Linked DNA regions of Notamacropus eugenii. The protein of the gene in region 1 purifies or fractionates together with the protein of each later gene. This does not show direct contact. Links are inferred from orthologs where the notes say so. Each region holds a gene or a part of one and is shown on either strand. Other genes may lie near its edges.

The links.
Region 2: the proteins of MTNR1A (region 1) and GNAI2 purify together in Homo sapiens (tandem affinity purification; 3 studies listed by BioGRID and IntAct, with this or other methods). This does not show direct contact. The link is inferred for Notamacropus eugenii from reciprocal best matches to the Homo sapiens genes MTNR1A and GNAI2.

Annotation. Positions count from the first base shown.
Region 1 is NC_092878.1:105,770,130-105,780,295, reverse strand, and holds the start of MTNR1A (melatonin receptor type 1A), read left to right. Parts: upstream 1-6,377; 5' UTR 6,378-7,037; coding exon 7,038-7,290; intron 7,291-10,166.
Region 2 is NC_092872.1:5,239,123-5,249,192, forward strand, and holds the start of GNAI2 (guanine nucleotide-binding protein G(i) subunit alpha-2), read right to left. Parts: upstream 3,731-10,070; 5' UTR 3,590-3,730; coding exon 3,472-3,589; intron 1-3,471. UniProt on the Homo sapiens protein: Guanine nucleotide-binding proteins (G proteins) are involved as modulators or transducers in various transmembrane signaling systems.

The DNA.
Region 1 (10,166 bases):
TTTCAACATTCATTTCCACAAGATTTTGAGTTCCAAATTTCCCCCATCTCTCCCCTCCACTCACCCCAAGACAGCATGAATTCTGATTATCCCTTCCCCCAATTTGTCCTCCCTTCTATCACACCCCTCCCTTCTCTTATTCCCATCCCCTCAATTTTCTTGGAGGACAAGATTGATTTCTATACCCCATTGCCTGTATATCTTATTTCCCAGTTGCATATAAAAACAATTTTTTACTTTTGTTTTTAAAATTTTGAATTCCAACTTCTCTCCCTTCCTCCCTCCCCACCCATCCCCACTGAGAAGGCAAGCAATTTGATATATGTTATACATGTATAGTTATGCAAAATACTTCCATAAAAATCATGTTGTGGAAGACTGCCTATATTTTCCCCCATCCTATCCTGCCCCCCATTTATCATATTCTCTCTTTTGAGCCTATCCCTTCTCAAAAGAAAGTATTTACTTCTAATTACACACTCTGCCCATTTGCCCTCCCTTCTATCATCCCCTCATTCCCCACCCCACTTATCCCCTTTCTCCCCTACTTTCCTGTAGTGTAAGATGGAGTTTTATAGCAAATTGTGTATGCATGTTATTCCCTCCTTAAGCCAAATGTGATGAAAGTAAGGTTCACTTTTTCCCTCTCACCTCCCCTCTCTTCCCTTCCATTGAAAAAGCTTTTTTTTTGCCTCTTTTATGCGAGAGAAAATTTGGCCCATTCTATTTTTCTCTTTCTCCTCCCAATTTACTCCTCTCACCTCTTAATTTTAATTTTTTTAGATATCATCCCTTCCTATTCAACTTACCCTGTGCCCTCTGTCTATATGTGTATAATCCCTCCAACTACTCTAGTACTGAGAAAAGTCTCAAGAGCTATAAATATTATCTTTCCATGTAGGAATGTAAACAATTCAAGTTTAGTAAGTCCCTTATGATTTTTCTTTCCTGTTTACTTTTTCATGCTTCTCTTAATTCTGTGTTTCAAAGTTAAATTTTCTATTCAGCTCTGGTCTTTTCATCAAGAATGCTTGAAAATCCTCTATTTCTTTGAACGACCATTTTCCCCCTAAAGTATTATACTCAGTTTTGCTGGGTAGGTGATTCTTGGTTTTAAACCTAGTTCCTTTGACTTCTGGAATATCCTATTCCAAGGCCTTCAATCCCTTAATGTAGAAGCTGCTAAATCTTCTGTAATCCTGATTGTATTTCCACAGTACTCTAATTGCTTCTTTCTGGCTGCTTGCAATATTTTCTCCTTGACCTGAGAGCTCTGGAACTTGGCTACAATATTCCTAGGAGCTTTCCTTTTGGGATCTCTTTTAGGAGACAATTGGTGGATTCTTTCAATATTTATTTTGCCCTCTGGTTCTAGAATATCAGGGCAGTTTTCCTTGATAATTTCATGAAAGATGATGTCTAGATTCTTTTTTTGATCATGGCTTTCAGGTAGTCCCATGATTTTTCAATTGTCTCTCCTGAATCTATTTTGCAGGTCAGTTGTTTTTCCAATGAGATATTTCAAATTGTCTGCTATTTTTTCATTCCTTTGGTTTTGTTTTATCATTTCTTGATTTTTTTATAAAGTCATTAGCTTCCATCTGCTCTTTTCTAATCTTTAAGGAATTATTTTCTTCAGTGAGCTTTTGGATCTCCTTTTCCATCTGGCCAAATCTGCTTTTTTAGGGCACTCTTCTCTTTATTGGCTTGTTGGATCTCTTTTGTCATTTGGGTTAGTCTATTTTTTACAGTGTTATTTTCTTCAGTATTTTTTGGGTCTCCTTTGGTAAACAGTTGACACGTTTCATGATTTTCTTGCATCACTCTCATTTCTCTTCCCAATTTTTGCCCTACTTCTCTGACTTGATTTTCAAAATCCTTTTTAAGCTCTTCCATGGCCTGAAACCAATTCATATTTTTCTTGGAGGATTTGGATGGAAGAGCTTTGACTTTGTTGTCTTCTGTTTGCATGTTTTGGTCTTCCTTGTCACCAAAGTAAGATTCTATAATCTGATTCTTTTTTTGGTTTTTGCTCATTTCCCCAGGCATTTGTTTGACTTTTGAGCTCTTTGTCAAGGTAGATCTCTGTTTCCAGTGGGGGTAGGGGGGTGTACCATCAGCTACTTGATTCCCTCCATAATCTGTGGCCTAGAGCTCCAGAAAGAGTCACTGTCTTTGCCTCTGCTGCTGCTGTGACTGCCACAAGTTTCTCCTCCCCATTCCCCCTCTGCCATTCTGGTGCTGGGGCCAAACCACTCCACTTTCACATGCTGGTGCCATAGACTTTTTCCACTGACCTTCCAATTTGTCCTCAATAATCCTACCCCCAACCCCAGTCTTAGGAATTAGAATCAAATATTAAGATGCGGAAGCAAGTAGATTGTGGTAGCTAAGTATCAGTATTAGGTGTTATGGCTGAAAAATCTTAGTTTTGCCCATGATCCTATACTGTCAGTATTGATACTGTATATGGGGGAAAAACAAACTTTGTACATTGCTTATAGCTCTTGTTTTGAGAGGATTAGGGATGAGGGGCATAGGGAAAGGTGGCATATGAATGAAAGATAAGTTGCTTGTAGTTATTGCTGGGGCAGCTCAGTGGTACAGTAGAGAGCACAGTAGGGCTAGAATTAGGAAGACTCCTCTTCCTGAATTCAAATTGATCTTCAGACATGTACTAGTTGTGTGACCCTTGGCAAGTCACTTCAAAGGAAATGGCAAATCACTCCAGTTTCTTTTCTAAGAAAACTCCATGGACAGTAGACAAAGTCCTTGGGGTCAGGTAGAATTGGACACAACTGAGTGATTGAACAAGAACAATTTATTGCCAGGTGCTCTTAAGTCATTAATGACCTATAATAATGTCAGTTGTGGGAACTCCAACTAACAGTCTTAGAGAGTTACCTAAAGTGCAGGAAGATTAAAGGACTTGCCCAGGGTCATACAGTAAGTATTTGAGGCTGCATGTAAACTTAGGTCTTCACTGTATTTTTGTGCTCTAGCCACTGGACCACAACTCAACTCAACTCAGTTCAGCAAACAGTTATTATGCAGGCTTTCTTCATGTGAAATACAATACTCTACATATTCAAATTCACTAGAAAGATTAATTTTGTTTGTTTAGAGAAAGGGTAGATGGCAAAAGGTATATGCAAGTGTGTATGCATATATGTGCATGTTATATACGATTTATTAACTCATTTTGTGGAGCAGTGGATAGAGTAGTAGACCTGAAGTCAGAAAGACTTGACTTTAAATCCAGCCTTAGTCATTTACTAGATGTGCGACCCTGGGCAAGTCACTTTACCTGTGACTGCCTCCTCAATTTTGAGAATCAAATGATATAATATTTGTAACTGGAACATAGTAGGTGCTTAGCAAATGCTTTTTCCCTTCTCTTATTTATTGTTCATTTTCTCTGTTAACAAATTCCTATCTAGACTGAGGAGGTATTACACCCCTGACCTCTTCACTAAGTGGTCCCTCTTAGCTGTGGTCCCACTCATGCATGCCAATCACTTTCAGTCCCCAAAAAGTCTGACTGCAAGGATTTGGCTGCTTGTCTAATATTCTTTGGCTCTTTACATTCCCTTGGAAAAAATTACATCTTAGATTTGACTTATATCTAGGGTCTTCCCAGAGGAAAGATTTATCTATTGTAAAACATGAATCAGGTAAGAGATATCTATTTCCTGCATGCAGAAGTAATGCTTTACCCAGCGGCTCTCAAAAACTTTCCCTGCCAGAAGGATACAAGAGAATACAGCTATTTCTAACTATTCTTATATTTTGTGGAGTGTTTAAGACTTAAACGTCAGAATTTGGAGGACCACCAAATGGCCATTGTTACATTTCACCTAAGCTCTGCACTGTACAAATAACTGTCCAGGTCCATGTTTTTTGGCAAGCCACACCAGGGTTTGTGGCTCCTCTGACTAATGGTTATCATAAAAAATAAGTGCTTGAATTATTGCTGGGGACTTCTGAAGTGAAGTCAAAATCAAATGAAGACAACTCAGGATCCCCTGATATCTTGAACTTACAAGGTCACTTCCAAGTCTGGACTACCTCAAGATTGATGTTTACTTATCTCGGCAAAGAAACATAGCACAAAATGTAGCCAAAGAGCAAAGCTGATCCCTCCCCCTTTTCCCCTCTGTCTTCTCTCTACTCCACTGCTGTGACTGCTACAGGCAACTCCAGGGGTTTGTTATTCCAAAAGCACCCAACTGTTGAGTGAGCATAAAGGATCACAGGAAGCAGACAGGGTAGTTTTTCACAATCCCTGTTACATTATCTTTCTCCATTCTAGTATGGAGTGGGAGTTAGAACTTAGTATTGAAGGCTATAGCTTAGCAAACCCTACTGGGAGGCTACTTGTTTAGAAACTTCATTCAAGTTATTGTTATAAGTAATTATTATAAGGTCTTAGCAAACAAGTATATATTGGGTGTTGCACCCTTCTCCCTGCAGAAGAAAATGAAAAATGCTTCAGTGTTCACAAATATGTGAAGAAAAATAATAATAACTGAATTTGTATAGCTTTAAGGTTTGCAGAGTACTTTGCATATATTGTCTCATTTAACTCACACAAGGAGTCTGTGAGGTAAGTGCCATAGCCAGGGCTACATGCTTTCCACAACATTCTTGAGTGCAGCCAAACCAGAATGAAATGCATTTGGAAAATCTTAAACAAGATAAGAAAGAAAATACCATGAAACATAAATAATATTAAAGTTTAAAACTTAGTCAACATGCAGTCTATAGGGATCCTTATGTATGCATATGCCCTGCTCCTATTTGAGTTTGAAAGTAATAAAATGCAGGTCTTCTAAGTTCAAAGTCTAGAAATCTATCCATGAGGTCAATCAAATGTATATATATTTAAAACATATGTTTGCACAGGCATGTTTTTAAGAGAGGCAGCTAGATGACTCAGAGGATGGAGCACTGAATCTGGAATCAGGAAGACCTAAGTTTGAATATTGGCTCAAAAATGTTACTATTAATTGCTAGGATTTATATAGTGCCTACTATGTGCCAGGAACTTTACAAATACTATAATTTTCTATCATCACAACAACTGTGGCAGGCAGATGCCAATATTATCCCCATTTTCCAGTTTAAGAAACTGAGGCTAAGTGACTTGCTGGGGGTGACACAGGTAGTAATAGTGTGAGGCCAGATCTGAACTTGGATGATCATGACCCAAGCCCTCTATCTTGTGTCACCCAGTTTGGTTAGCTGGGTGACCCTGGGAGAGTCATTCAACATCTCTTTGCCTCAGTTCTCTCATCTATGAAACGGGATAATAATCATCATGGCACATACTCTCCAGGGCTGTGAAGATAAAATGGGATCATATTTGTAAAGTACTCTGATAGCCATTATTATTAAAAAATAATAACCAGCATTGAAATGCTAGTCATTATTATTATCTTAGCATGAATATGACCCTTTAAAGTTGGCAAAACACAAATAATTATCTCACTTGATCCTCACAACATGCTGTTAACATTCAGTTTCACAGATGATGAAATTGGAGGCAAGCAAAGTTAAATAACTTGCCCAGGGTCACACAGACAGAGATCACATTTGAGCCCAGGTCTCCCTGGACTCAGGGATGTGCCAATAAAGAAGGTGACAAGAAAAATCTTTTAATGATTCCTCTCCCCTCCATGTCTGATCTCTTAAGATTACATGCCAGCAATTTTTTCATGGGTAAGGGGAGAGGCAGGAACTCATAGGATCAGATCTGGAAGGGATGTCACCTTCAGTGCCATCCATTCCAAATTTCTCATTTTTGAGGTGTGTGTGTGTGTGTGTGTGTGTGTGTGTGTGTGTGTGTGTGTGTGTGAGAGAGAGAGAGAGAGAGAGAGAGAGAGAGAGAGAGAGAGAGAGAGAGAGAGAGAGAGAGAGAGAGAGAGAGCGGGAAGGAGTGGGAAAGGCAGACAACTGGTGCCCATGGAGGTAAAAGCACTCGCTTTACATCACATAGGTAGGAACAGGCAGAACTAGAACCCAGAACCTCTAACTCCAAAGCCTGCACTCTTTCCACTGTGCCGCTGTATTTCTCTAGGTTTAGTTAAGAATTTTAGCAGGTAGCCTCGCTTCCTGGTCATGCACTGCGGGGATAAAGACGAGTCAGCGGCCCTTGACAGCAAGAATACCCTGGGATAAATAGGATAAAAAAACAAACAAAAAGAAAGCTGTTTGAAGCGAGCTCTCCAGTAAGTCCCACGTCCTTCCCCTTGTTTGCTCTTGCTGGTGATGGAGATCGCCGCTATGGGGCGCTGATGGTACACAGCACCCGAGGGAGGTCCCCAGTTCCCCTGAAGCGCTAGGACCAGGTCATTAACGCTAGATGTCACCTGGAGCAAGCGGGGGGCGAGGAGACCGGGAGTGAGACGCTATAAAAAGAGACAGAGTCGGGCAGTTGTGCACTTCGGGGGCACTTGCCTAGAGTTGGAGGGCTGGAACAGCCAGGAGACTGGGGGAGGAGAAAGGGTACCCAGAGGGGTACTGCAGTTTCCGTCCCTAAGGAGGAGAAAGAACCTCGAAGACCAGGAGAGAGAACCCAGAAGAGGTGCAGGTTAAGCCTCAGAAGAGGAGGGAGACTCAGGGGATGAGAAAGGAGACCCCAGAGGGGAGGGTGCAACTTCAGCTCCTAAGGGGAAAGAAGCCGGACACCCCAAGGAGAAGGGGGATCTCAGAAAGGGCTCAGCTTCAGAACCCAAGAAGGAGGGGGGTAGATCCTGAGAGAGAAGGGGTGCAGCTTCAGCCGTAGAAGAGGAGGAGGGGGACCTCGGGGAGGAGGAAGGGAACTGCAGAAGGGGGTGCAACTTCAGCTCCTAAGGAGAAAGAAGAGGTAGGAGAGGGACCCCAGAGGGGGTCCAGATTTAATTTCTGCTTCGTCTTAACCTAGAGTGCAACAAGCGATCCATCCTCACCCCCATTCCCTCTCCGTACTGGGTATTTGCTTAGTGGAGGAGTAGGAAAAATCTGAAAGTTGTCCGGGGGTTCCCAAGCCCAGAGCGATGGAGACGCAGGGGCTTGAGGTAGGGGGAGACCCTGCCATTTTATCTCAGGACAAGAAAATGATGGACAATAGCAGTAGGTTGCTTAACTACTCCTGGCAGGATCCTGGCCTGGCCGAGAGCACCGTGAAACGACCCACATGGGTACCTTTTACTCTCGCGACCATCCTCATCTTTACTATTGTAGTGGACATCTTGGGCAACATCCTGGTCATCCTTTCGGTATATCGGAACAGGAAGCTGAGGAATGCAGGTAAAAATGACTCTTGGGAGCCACGTGGGGAATGGGAAAAGAAACTCAGAAAAAAGGGGTGACAAGAAGTCGAGGTGAAAAAGGGGGGAGATGATACCCGGGAGAGGCAACTAAAGTCTTCCTGTTCCAGTCCTAGACTTCTTTCCCTCTGAACTCTCTCTCAGTAATGAATCAAACTCTACCCTCCCTGCATTTTCTCTCCCCAACTTCTTTTGGATCAGAACAAAACTTAGAGACACATCTTTTCCCTCTTGGTTATCTGTCTATCTATCATCTATCTATCTTCTATCATCCGTCTATCTATCTTCTATCACTCTATCTATCTATCTATCTATCTATCTATCTATCTATCTATCTATCTATCTATCTATCTATCTATCATCTATCTTCTATCTGCCTATATATCTATCATCTATCCAACTCTGTCTCATTTATTTATTTTGCCTGAAGACTTTCCATAAGAGTTCATAGATTTTAGTAGTAAGCATTCTTTTCTTTATAGTGTCCAACCTAAAATGCTCTTTTGAAAGCAATATATAGTCTTCAGATTACCAAAAAAAATTACCATTCAGTTTTGCTAAGGTTGCTTTCTATTTTCTGAAAGAAAATTTAAAATGCAACTTTTGTTTCAAGTTGTAGAGTTCATTAGACTATTAGATACACATCTCAGTAGGTTCCTAAAATCAACTTACTTTACACCAGGAGTTTTTAACCTCTTTTGGAGTATCATGGACACCTTTGGCAATCTGATGAAACCACTGCATCTCTTCCCTTAATGTTTTTAAATGAATAAAAATTTATACGATTGCAAAGTAAACCAGTTATATTACTTATCAAGTCATTTTTAATTAAAGTTTATGAATCTCAAGTTAAGAGCCCTTACTCTAATCTATTTCCACAATTTGAGTTCTTTATTTTAGTCATTTGTCTTGAAATATGTGTTTAGAGCTGTATATGATGTTTATATATAAATATAAGAAATATAAGATATTTAGATATCTTAACTATTAATATGAGAGAAAATGCAGCAGATATTATGGTGACCAGAAATTCTGTCTTCTTTATTTCCACGTCTTCTCCCAGTGCTTAACAAATATTCACTGAATAAATCAATGGATGAATGAATGAACTATAAAAATCCTCAGAATTCATTCATGACATCATGGATATGGCCAATTAAGTATCAGTTTCTTTTTGGTTTATTCTTTTGAAACAGTCATGGTTGTGTCAAGGTAGACATTTTTATGTTGGGTTTAAGAATAATTTTGTACTTGAGTTATAGCTGCTTTTTCAGTGAGCAACTGAGGATAAATGGTTTATTTCAGGTGAGTTTTTGCAAACTCTTCAACAGCTGGAGAAAATTAAGTATTTCAGCATCATATTTTGGCATTGTACACTGATGCAGTGTTTGCCCATTTGTGAAAGAATCATCCAAATGATTTATACACCTACAAAGGAAATTGACATGGGAGATGGGACTAGTAAGCAGGCACATAAGGGGATTGCTTCATGCATGATGAGGCACTTGGGTCGAGCCTTGAAGGAAGATAAAGTTTCTGAGAGGGAGAGTTGAAAAAGCATAGACTGCATTATAATTATAAGGGAAAGGTCTATGTGAGTTCACAGCAGTGAGTGATAGAGTATTAAGTCAGGGGAAATGATTAGTAATGTAATACAACTGTTACCTACAGTTTTTTTATTCAATGTACATGGAATCTTTTTTGATATGGATGATTTCTATTTGCATAGATTAGGGGTGGGGAACCTGCTGCCTCAAAGCCACAAGTGGCCTTTTAGGTCCTCAAGAGCAGGCCTTTGGCTGAATCCAAACTGCTTGATAAAATAATTATAAAAACTGTGAAGTTGAATTCTTGGGTACATAAAGGGTCACATGTGTTCCCCGCCTCTGGTGTAGATGACAGCTTCAAGACATCTCATAATATACAGTCCTTTTCTATGTCTTCCCATGTTCCCCCCACCGCAGGAAATCTACCCAGTTTGAAAAAGAGAAAACCAACTATACTCTTTTAACTGGGTATCAATGTGATTTTAAACTCCTTGCAGATAGGAATGATTTATCACACTAGGGAAAGATTCCTCATGAGCACCAAATAAATACTTATGCAATATTCTTGGGAGTTCATGGATTTCAACAGATTACAAAAGGGATCCATGACACACAAAAATGTTAACAACCTCTGGCCTAGAGATTAAGTGTCCAGAAACAATATCAGTATGTGCCAGAGACAAGAGTCTAGCCCTAGACTTCCTAGTTCTAAGACAAGCTTTCTATCCACTACACCACACTGCCTCAGGTACATGACCGCATGGAAAATTGTAACTTAAAAAAAAGCTTTAACTGTGTCCATCCAACTTTAATTACAATTTATTCAGGAGCTTCATGATAAATATTTTATAAATTACAATAATGCTGCTACTGAGGAAGAATATTAAATGGCATTTTGATAAGAAAAGATAACAGACATACACGTGTAGTATTGCCTTGCTGGGATTTTGCCTATAAATATCCCACTGGTGTTTTCTGGAATGATCATTTTTAATGCTAGCCACAATAAAAAAGACCTCTGCACCTGGAGGACAGTTTGTAATATGGTTCTTAGACAGATGTAGTTATTTTATGTGACTCACCAAAGACTATTATGTAAAGCCTTATTGCCTTTCATTCTCTTTATTCCTGCTGGATTTATTGTGTTGACAATATAGATGGTTGGCTTGGGATAGAGAAAAAAGAGGAAAACCTCTAAGAAATCTGACTTTTTTTTCCTTTGGAGACATGAGGTAAGTCATTTTACTTTTAAAAGAATTGTTTAGTTCATTTGTTCCTGAAATTCTACTGAAGGATCAAGTTGAGTTTT
Region 2 (10,070 bases), on another chromosome or scaffold:
TACCCCCCCCCCCCCCAACTAGTCAGGGGGAAACTCCAAGTAAGATTTCCAGTGCCAGCCCTTCAACAATTAAATCTTTCAGCAGGGTAAGGGTACTTCAGCCCACACAGGCAAACAGGCAGGTCTCATCCATCAAAGCTACCTTAAAAACCAAGCTACACATGACACTCTGGAGACATCAAAATCCAGATTAGGTTGCTGCTAGCCCGGAGGTCACGTCCAAATCTGAGGGCCAAGGCTTACAAAGACACTGGCTGCCAAGAAGACTGCCCCACACTCTGCTATCACATTCTCAGCTGCTTGTTTCCTCCTGCCAACCAGGACGCTGTTACTTTCTCAGAAACTTTGAGAACCCAAGAACCATAAAAGCATTTCTCTCTGCCCAGGACACACTGCTGGACCCAGGACAGCATGCTAAGATAGGAGTAAAATGCCGCTGAAAGAAGGGTGGGAGGCTGAGCTGAGCTCTGCAAGCCCTTCTCCTTCATTCAGTTGCCATCTTGAAAAAGTCTGCTCATCCCAAAGTCTCCCTGGTCAGTCATTCTCTCTGGGAGCCACAGGAGATGCCATGATCCTTAAACCCACAAGTCCAATGAATGGCTTTGCTGGAGGTGAGCATAAGGCTGTAATTACCCTAAAACTGATGCATGTGCCCAGAAATTACCACCTCTAATAGCACCTCTAATTAGTCATCATCCAGAAAAGAGGATGGGTGCTGCCAGCTTGCAGCTCTCCCATCTTCCCCTGTGAAAAACAGTCTCATTTTACAATCATCTGAAGGGGAGCCCAAAGCTGTTTCTGGCTTCAAACTGGAGGAATAAGATATCTCAAGACTTCAGCACTATTTACACTTGAACAGCTGCTATTTAAAAAAAAAATAGGAAGAAGAAAAAAAATCCAGCTTATTCTTGCTTAAAAAAATCTCAGAGGGGGCAGATCAGAAGGCAGCCCAGTCCAGCCTTGTGGGCTCAGAATCCCCAAGTTAGGTTTGGAACCTCTCCTCCTCCTAACCCAAGGCCCTGCTGTACTTATCCTCTCTGGTTCTCCAAAAGGAAGGCAAGGCAAGGGCCATGCCCATTTGGGGGTCTAAGGGAGAATGAAGTCATCTTGATGAAAACAGCACTCTGCTAGGGAAAGCTTCCAGCTGAAACGAGGACAATAATCCACCTGCCACTTAAAGCCTGAGGTGAGCCCATCACAAGAGGAAGGCCGAAGTGAAGGTGGAGAAGGCTCCCACAGCTTGGGACCAGCCCACACACGGCTTCCACCCACCTCTCAGAACACAAGCAGGCACAGGAAGCAGCTTCTAACTGTGCAGAGAGCTGTGCTGTGCCCTGCCCTGCCCTCCCGTAAACAGCTGGCCTCAGCCTTCCCCGGAGCACACACACAGCACTGGGTACATCCATTTCCTCCCCTCTCCACGTCAGAACATTTCATCAGTGATAAGGAACACCACACGAACCACTTCTCCGCTAGCCCAGGGAATACAAGGTGGGGCTACACGCCCCCCTACCCTCCGCGGGATCCTTGGATGGTTCCCCAATGCCCAAGGCCTAGGCCTCCCCGAGTCTGGGCAGTTTCCTCTCCACACTTCCCTAGAGTCAGATGCCATCTCCCAGGATCACAATACGTCCATCCCCACCAGGGCCCTTCAGGCAAACCCCAGAGGAGTGGCCTAGCTCGGCCCAGCCGCTTTGTTTTTCTCCCTGCGGGCTTCTTTTCGGGGGGTTGGGTGGGGAGGGGTGCCAGCCGGCACAGCACTGCCAGACTTCCCTAACTCTCGGGGAGAGAACGGCCTTGCCCCCGGCCCCAGGCCCCCTGGAGCCCCCGCCAGCCCTGGGCACTCGCTAGGACACCCGGGCCCCGCCGGGCTCGCTGTCTCCCCGGCCGCCCCGCCTGTCCCGCGGACTGAGAAAAGGGGAAGTCGAAGCTGCCTCCAGTTCCCGGCCCTCCCCACCCCCTTCCCCTTCCCCCAGCGCCACCATTTTCCCCAGGGGCTGGAAACAGAATTCAAAAAAAAAAAAAAAAGTCGAAATCCCCTTTTCCGAGCATCCAAACCAACTCTCCCGCCCCAGGCCCAGGCACTTAGGGGGGATCGGGGGCGAGAGCGTCCCCCCGGGGCGCCCGGAGGGGGTCCGGCCCCCATCCCCAGCTCAGAGGGAGGGGCGCGGCGGGGGGGGACACCTCGAAACTCCAAAGCTCAAAGTAAGCGGAACGAGGCCCTGGAGGCCGAGGCGGCCCCGCCCCCCCCACCCCCGCGGCCGGCAGCTTCCCCCCACCCCACCAAGAGGAACTTCTCTATTTCCCCCCCAACACACCCCGCCCTCCTCTCCAGTCCAGGGCGTTTCCGTAACTGGGGGGGGGGGGGGATGGGTCGGAAAAAGCCTTTGATTCTCGCAGCTTTCCCTCCACCCTCAGGGTTTGGGAAATCCACCCACACCTCAAGCCCAGGAGGCAGCCACCCGACTCTCCATCTCTGCCCCAGGGGCGGGGTGGGGTTGGGTGGGGAGATAGCGGAAAGACCGGGTCGAGCCGGGGACCGCAGGCGGCAAACTCGCAGGAGACTCCAGGGGGTACGGGGTGGGGGGGCGGAGAAAAGGGTGGTTAGGCTGGATGCGAGTGGTACTTGGGGGGGCAGTGTGACGTGGAAAGCCCGGCGGCGGGGGATGAGCGACTGACGGCAGGCAAAGGCAGGTGGGGGGGGCGTCCCCTAAGGGGGCACAGAGGGAGCCAGAGGAAGCCCAGGCTGATGAGGTGGGGGGGCAAGTTAAGAAGCACTCCCCTCAAAGGGAGCAGGAATTCCAAGAGGCCAGAAGAAGTGTGAAGATACGAGGGTCAGTTTGGGGAGCCTTGAGCAGGACGGGGGGTTCGGGAGGCGTAATGGGGAGGCCGGAGATCTGGGAGAACCTGCCTTGTAAAAATGGAACGTAGAGAGTGGGCAACGAAACTGGGGAGCAGCGGGAGAGGATGGGGGGTGAGCTTGTGAGTGCGGGGGGAAGCACTCGTTCGGAGGGCCTCGTAAGGCTTGCGGGTACTAGGGTTCAGGGGTGTAAATAGGAAGGCAAGGATTTGGGGCCAGAAATGAGTGCAAGAGTGTGGATGAGGGGGCCAGGGGCTCCGGCGCGGTTGGGGGTCAAGGTGGTGGGATACCGGGGGGTTGGGGTCCAAATAAGAGAGGGGCGCTGGGATTGGGGGGGCGGAGCTGGACGCCAGGGTTTGGGGATCTGGGGTGAGATGCACCCCAGGTACTAGGGCAGGTCGGGGATTTGGGGGGGTAACAGGCAGTGGGGGCGGAGATTCTGAGGGTGCGGGGGAACCCAAGAGTTTGGGGGCTCCAAGGCGGGGGCACGGCGGTTGGGGGGGCAGGAGGACAGCGGCCCTCGGACAGGCCCCCGAGGAGCCCGGAGGGTGGGGGGCGCCGCCGGGGTGGGGGGCCCAGGACCCATCCGGGGCTCAGGCCCACAGCCTCACCGAGGAGCAGCAGCTTCACCTCCCGCGCCGCCTTCTCGCCGTCCTCCCGCAGGTTCTTATCGATCATCTTGGAGCGCTCGGCCGCCGCCTTGTCCTCGGCGCTCACGGTGCACCCCATCCCGCCGGCCCGGCCCAGCCTGGCCCCGGCCCGGCCCCGTACCGTCCCGTCCCGCCTCCGCGCGCTCTGCCCGGACCCCGCGGACCGCGCTCGTGTGAGGAGCTCCCAGCGACTGCGGGCGGCGCCGGCTCCTCCGCAGCGGCCGCGACGGCGGGGCGGGGTGGGGCGGGACGGGAGCGGACCCGGAGGCGGGGATTGGCCCGGGGGCGGGTCCGGAGCGCGGGACGAGAGGCGGGGATTGGATGGAGGAATGAGTGAGGTAAAGGGGAGGCGGGGAAGGAACGGAAGGGGCGATCGCAGGTGGGGATTGGATTGGGGGCGGGCCAGAACGAAATCAGAGACGGGGATTGGGGGGGAGGCGGGATCCGAGGCGGGGAATGGTCGGGGTGGGTCTGTGGGCGGAGCTAGAACGGGTGGGGCGGCAGCGCGGGACCCGGGATTGGGGCAGACTTAATCCTTAGCTGTGAAATGGGGGTGGGGGGAGTCCCCGCTCTCGGAGCCTGGGCTGGGGGCGTGGTTTAATGTAATAATAATAATAATTAGCGTTCACTTGTCACTTTGTATCTTCTTCTCCCCCCCCCCCCCCACTCCGAGGTTGGTAGAGCTGGCTGCTCTCTTTAGAAGGAAACTGAACCGCAGCACGTGGTTCCACGTCCCCGGCTTTTTCCTATTCTAAAATATGCTTTAATAGACTAAAGTATAGCCTAAGTTCACGATTTTCCGCAGAAGGTTTAGATAGATAGATAGATTAGATAGATAGGTAGATAGATAGATAGATAGACAGACAGATAGAGATAGATAGGTAGGTAGGTAGATAGATACATAGATAGATACATAGGTAGATAGATAGGTAGATAGATAGATAGACAGACAGATAGAGATAGATAGGTAGGTAGGTAGATAGATACATAGATAGATACATAGGTAGATAGGTAGGTAGGTATATAGATAGATATATATCACTTTAAGGTCCATAAAACACTTTCCTTTGAATCCTCTCCACAACCTTGGGAGGTAGGCTATCTCCATTTTACAGCTGAGGAAACTGAGGCAGGCAAAGGTTAAGGGTCATTCACAAGAGCATTCAAGAAATAGCCTGACAAATCCACTTATAGCCAAGTGTGGGTGTCTGGTCGGATAGCTTAGAGTGTTGGGAAGTAGGGTTGTGTGAGGGAAGAAAGAAGGGGTGAGTTCTTGGGTTCCCTGAGGTGATAAAGAGCTCCAGACTGGGAGCCGAGACACCTGGCTTCCCCAACCAGGGTGACCTCAGGCAGAGATGCCCTCTGTTTAGAATAAAGTTCCTCTTGAATCTGAGGTTGTGAACTCCTTGAGGGTGGGGACCCTGTTGGGGCAAGTCACTGAAGCTCTGCCTGCCTCAGCTTCCTCAACTGTAAAATGGAGATCGTCGTATCACCTGCCTTCCAGGGTTATGGAAAAGCTTCAATGTAAAGTGATTTGTGGACCTCGGAGTGATATATTTATGTATAAATGTGGATATATTTATGTATAAATATGGATATGTTTACATATAAAGTGATAGATAAATATGAGCATATTTATATATAAAGTGATATATAAAATGGATATATTTATATATACAGTGATTTGTAAATATGAATATATTTATGTCTAAAATTATATATATGTGTGTGTGTGTGTGTGTGTGTGTGTGTGTGTGTATTATGCCTGACTGGGAGAACTGTAAGAGGAGAAGCTTAGCCCTCAGCTAACCATGGAGTTCACAATGATATCTGAGGAGGAAGGTTCCAAATTAAAAACTAGAGGCCAGGGGTGATTTAAAAAAAAAAAATTAACTCTAGGCTGGAAGTACAAGGATGAAAAAATTCCCTCAGTAGGGTTTACACAATCATCTAGGAAAATTAGGGGGGAAAGAACATTTTTCAGCTTGGAGGGGACCAACGAAGGCACCTAAACTGGACTTTGAGAAACAAGAATGGCTTTAGTGGGCTCAGATGGAAGGGTTGAGGGCCTCAGGATCTCTTGGAGCCCAGATAACGAAGGGTAGTGGTCATGGAAGACTTCCTATTGGACTTAAGGTGATTGAGGTCTCCAAGAATTTATATAGACAGGGAGGAAGGGGAGAGGGGATAACAGCTGGGCAAGTGGGACTCGTGGAAGGTGTCAAGGTCAATATAAATTTTAATAATAACTTTTTATACTTCAAAGACTCAGTCGGATTTGTGACCTCACTGATGTGGAAATTCCCTCCAATGATTCGGATTGCAGCCCATCTATACTTGCCTATGCCTAGGTGACCCTTGTACATGTTCTCCCTAGAGTTCGACACAGAGGAACCATCACCCACAGTGATCCAAACGTCTTTCTAGAGTCCTCTTAATGGCACAAAAATATGTTGGAAGCCCTAAGACTGCCGGTCAGTTTTCCCTCTCAGCCTGATTGCACCATTTTGGTCACATTTTCTGCTGTTTCTCCTTTGTAATAATGCCTTGTTTGTAATGTCAGTCAGTCAACAAGCATTTATTAAGTTAGGAGAATTAAGTTAAGAATTAAGCCTGACTGGCCTAGGCCCATCTCCAAAACAGAGATCTCAGTAGGGGAAGAAGATAAGAATTTATTAAAGATCTCCTATATGTCATATATTATATATCTATTATATGTGCTAAGCACTTTACCAATAATATCTCAGATCCTCACAACAACCCTGGTAGGTAGGTGCTATTATTATCCCCATTTGACAGCTGAGAAAACTGAGGCAGACAAGGGTTAAGTGGTTTGCCAGGTCACACAGCCCATGTCTGGGGGTTCCTGACTTCAGGTCTGGAATTCCATCCACCATACCACATAAACTGCGGGAATGGGAGAAGGGGACCAGCATGGGGGAGGAATATTCTAGGGTAGGAAGATCCTGCAGGCCAGACTGGATGGGAATAAAGGATAAGAAAACTGGAAATGTAGGAAGGGGCCAGGTTGTAAAGGTCTTTGAAGGCCAAAAAAGAGGATTTTATTTGATCCCATCAGTCATGGGGGTGGGGTGCAGCTAAGTGGCACAGTAGATAGAGTGCCAGACCTGGAGTCAAGAAACTGGCCTCAGATTCTTTCTAGCTGTGTCACCCTGGGCAAATCACTTATCCCTCTTTGCCTCAGTTTCCTCATCTGTAAAAATGAGTTGGAGAAGGAAATAGCAAAACATCCCAGTATCTTTGCCAAGAAAACCCTGAAGGAGATCTCAAGTCAGACACAACTGAAAACACCTGAACATCAACCAGTGGATTTCTGGGGCCCAAACTATTTTCTACTTTCAATATGTGTCACACATATGAATGAACTCTATAGGCTGTTCATCCAGCTGTATATCATAGTCTAGCCTCTAGGCATTCTTTTAAAATGTTCTGTTGACTTCCTTCCCTCCCTCCCTCTTTCTTCTTTCTTTCCTTCCTTTCCTTCATCTTTCTTTCTCTCTTCCTTCCTTCTTTCTTTCTTTCTAACAACTGTCATTTATCAATGACCTTGCCCCCCACCCTCACTCAATAGAAACTTCTATTGTAACCAATACATATAGTCAAGCAAAATAAACTAAAACATGGGCTGCATATATCTCATTCCACACCTGTTGTCCACAACCTACCACTCTGCCAAGGACAATAGACATTATTCACCCACTTTTTTTTTTAACCCTAAGCTATTTTGGGTGATCACTGATCTCATTTAAGCCCCTGCAATACTCCACAATCAGTCACACCTGAAGCACCTGACCCTCTATAGGGAATCCCTCTTCAGTTTGGATTCTGGCCCAGACAGCCTTCATGACAGTGACCAACACCTTTGGCAAGAATGTCTCCTTATTTTGTGCCTCACTTCATATTATGAATGAAAGGGTCTTTGAACAAGCTTGTTATAGCTTTGCCCCCATCCCTGGCACATAGTAAATGTTTAATAAGTGTTTGATCTATTTATTGATAGCTTTTAAAAACAGCATTTTATTCCCTATATCAAACTTTCATATTGATAAGTGATAGACAGTTGGTTCTTATACTATAAACATCTTCCAGTTAATTGTGTGATGGTAAAATTGTGTTCAGTGCAGGCAGGTGGTGCAATGGTCAGAGTTTTGGGTCGGGAGTCAGGAAAACCTGAGTTCAAATCTAACCTCTGACACTTATTAGCTGGGTGACCCTGGGCAAGTTACTTAACCTGTTTGCCTGCGTTTCCTCATCTGTAAATGAGCTGGAGAAGAAATGGCAAAGAAGAAAACCCCTAAATGGGGTCACCAAGAGTCAGACACAACTGAAGCAACTGAACACCGGTAACGACAACATCAGAGCTGTGTTCTCGTATGGAATATCACTCATGAAGCCCTGCCTGCCACTTTCTAACATCCTTATCAAGGATGTGCTTAATGTGTGCAAAGATTATTTTTGTAAAAATTGTATGTGATCAATCAACCAAAAGGGCAACTCAGTGTTACAGTGGATAGAGTGCTGGACTTGGAGTCAGGAAGACTCATCTTCCTGAGTTCAAATCTGGCCTCAGACACTAACTAGCTTTGTGACCCTGGGTAAGTCATTTAATGCTGTTTGCCTCAGTTTCCCCATCTGCAAAATGAGCTGGAGAAGAAATGGCAAACCATTTCAGTATCTTTGCCAGGAAAACCCCAAAGAGGGTCATGAAGAGTTGGTGTAATATTAAGGGAATTTGAAGATCTTCCCTGACCCTTAATAGGCCCATGTGACTTGCTTTGAGCTTTGGCCCAGCCCACAGCTTGAGTCACATGAAGCCCATGGTGGTTGGAGCTTGCCAAATGGTGGAGCTAAGAGAGACTAAGGCAGAGTTGAGGCAGAGCAGCTAGTGTAAGTGAGAGAGGGAGGAATTTTGCCTACGAGCTTGTTTGTGGAGAAGCCTAAGGGAGGGAAGACTTGGGGATGTCAACGTTCCCTCTGTTAGTGATATGTATAAACTGCTTTGTTACCATGGTGGAATTGACTTTCTGGTATCTGAATAAATATTTTGGTTTTGTCTTTGAAGAAGAGAGTTTATATTTTGTAAATTTATCCTGGAAATATGCCTGCATATCCATAGTGGCTGCTGTGAATATCGCCTTGGCATTCAGTTGGGCATGACTGAAATGAGTCAGCAGCAGCAGCGACCAAGTAGACTAGATCACTGGAGCATGGAATGCATGGAGCAAAGTGATATGTAAGAAGATGGGAAAATAGGCGTATGCGTGGGTGATCATTGTTATTTCCTTATTTTGTTTTTTTTGGGTTTTTTTGCTAGTGATAAAGTCTGAATTTTTTTTCTACAGCTGTGGTATTTTCTCCTTCTTCAGTCACCTGACTAATTAATATCACTGCTCTCGAAACTCTACTGCCTGCAGCACTGACCTCCTCTAATTATATCTGGTCTTGTCCAGCTGCTTTTCTTACCTTTGTTTTTTGGGATTTTTTGTTTGTTTGTTTTTTTGGTATCATTTCTCCTTTCTTTATAAGCACATCCTGGACTGAGTCCAAATGTGGCAACTCCCCCACTCTTAAGGTAAAAGGAATTTGTTTTGAAAATCTTTTCAGATCTTTTCCAGCGTGTTTGTTGTTGATTTCCAGTTTCATCCTTAAATGTTCTCTGCATAACTTTGCCAAACTTTCTTTAACGGATTCTTCTTTCCACTGTTTCTTTTCAGGGATAATATTACTCATTGTCTCCTACCATCTTTCTCCATAACATTTTATATTCTAAGTCAATGTTGCCCTTGACTTTTGGACAAGTCAACAATGAATGTGGTTTGGGAACTCTTTTGGTCTAATGAAAATTGATTTACATTGGTTAAGTGTCCCTGTGAATACATTGTTATCTCTGTTAATGTCTTTTCGTACATCCATTTCCAGTGTTCCTGGGTCAATAGCTTATTTAAGCAGGTCAGTTTGGAGTTGTTTTGAAGATAGACCATGTTATTGTTTTCATTTTTAATCTATCTTTTAGCTTGAAATTAATTTTGATCTTTGCTCTAACAACTTGGTGGTCTGACTATACAATGAAGTGACTCCTGTGTCAGAGCAATTTTCTCTCTGTTAAACTACAATCAATTTTATTATTTGGGATGCTGTTTGATGTTAATCATGTTCATAATGACCTTGTAAATCTGTTTATGGGCAAGAGGCTTCTGTGTAGTTGGCAAATCTTTGACCTCTCTCATTCCTTACTCATCAACCACATTTTCCAACATGCATTTCATCATCTTTACTTATGCCTACTTTTGCATCAGTTACCCAAAGTATTTATCAACATATATCAAAATATATGTTGATTTAATTTGTAGGGTTTTATTGAGTTCTTCATAGAAATTCCCTACTTCCTAATCCTCTAATATAGATGTTGGTACATAACCAATTATTTTCATGGTGGCCATTTTGCAAATACTTCTTATGAGCTATACCACAATACGAGATGACCAGATGTCCCATGGAATGATGTTTCTTTTTGCCTTTAGACACACAATAAAACTAAC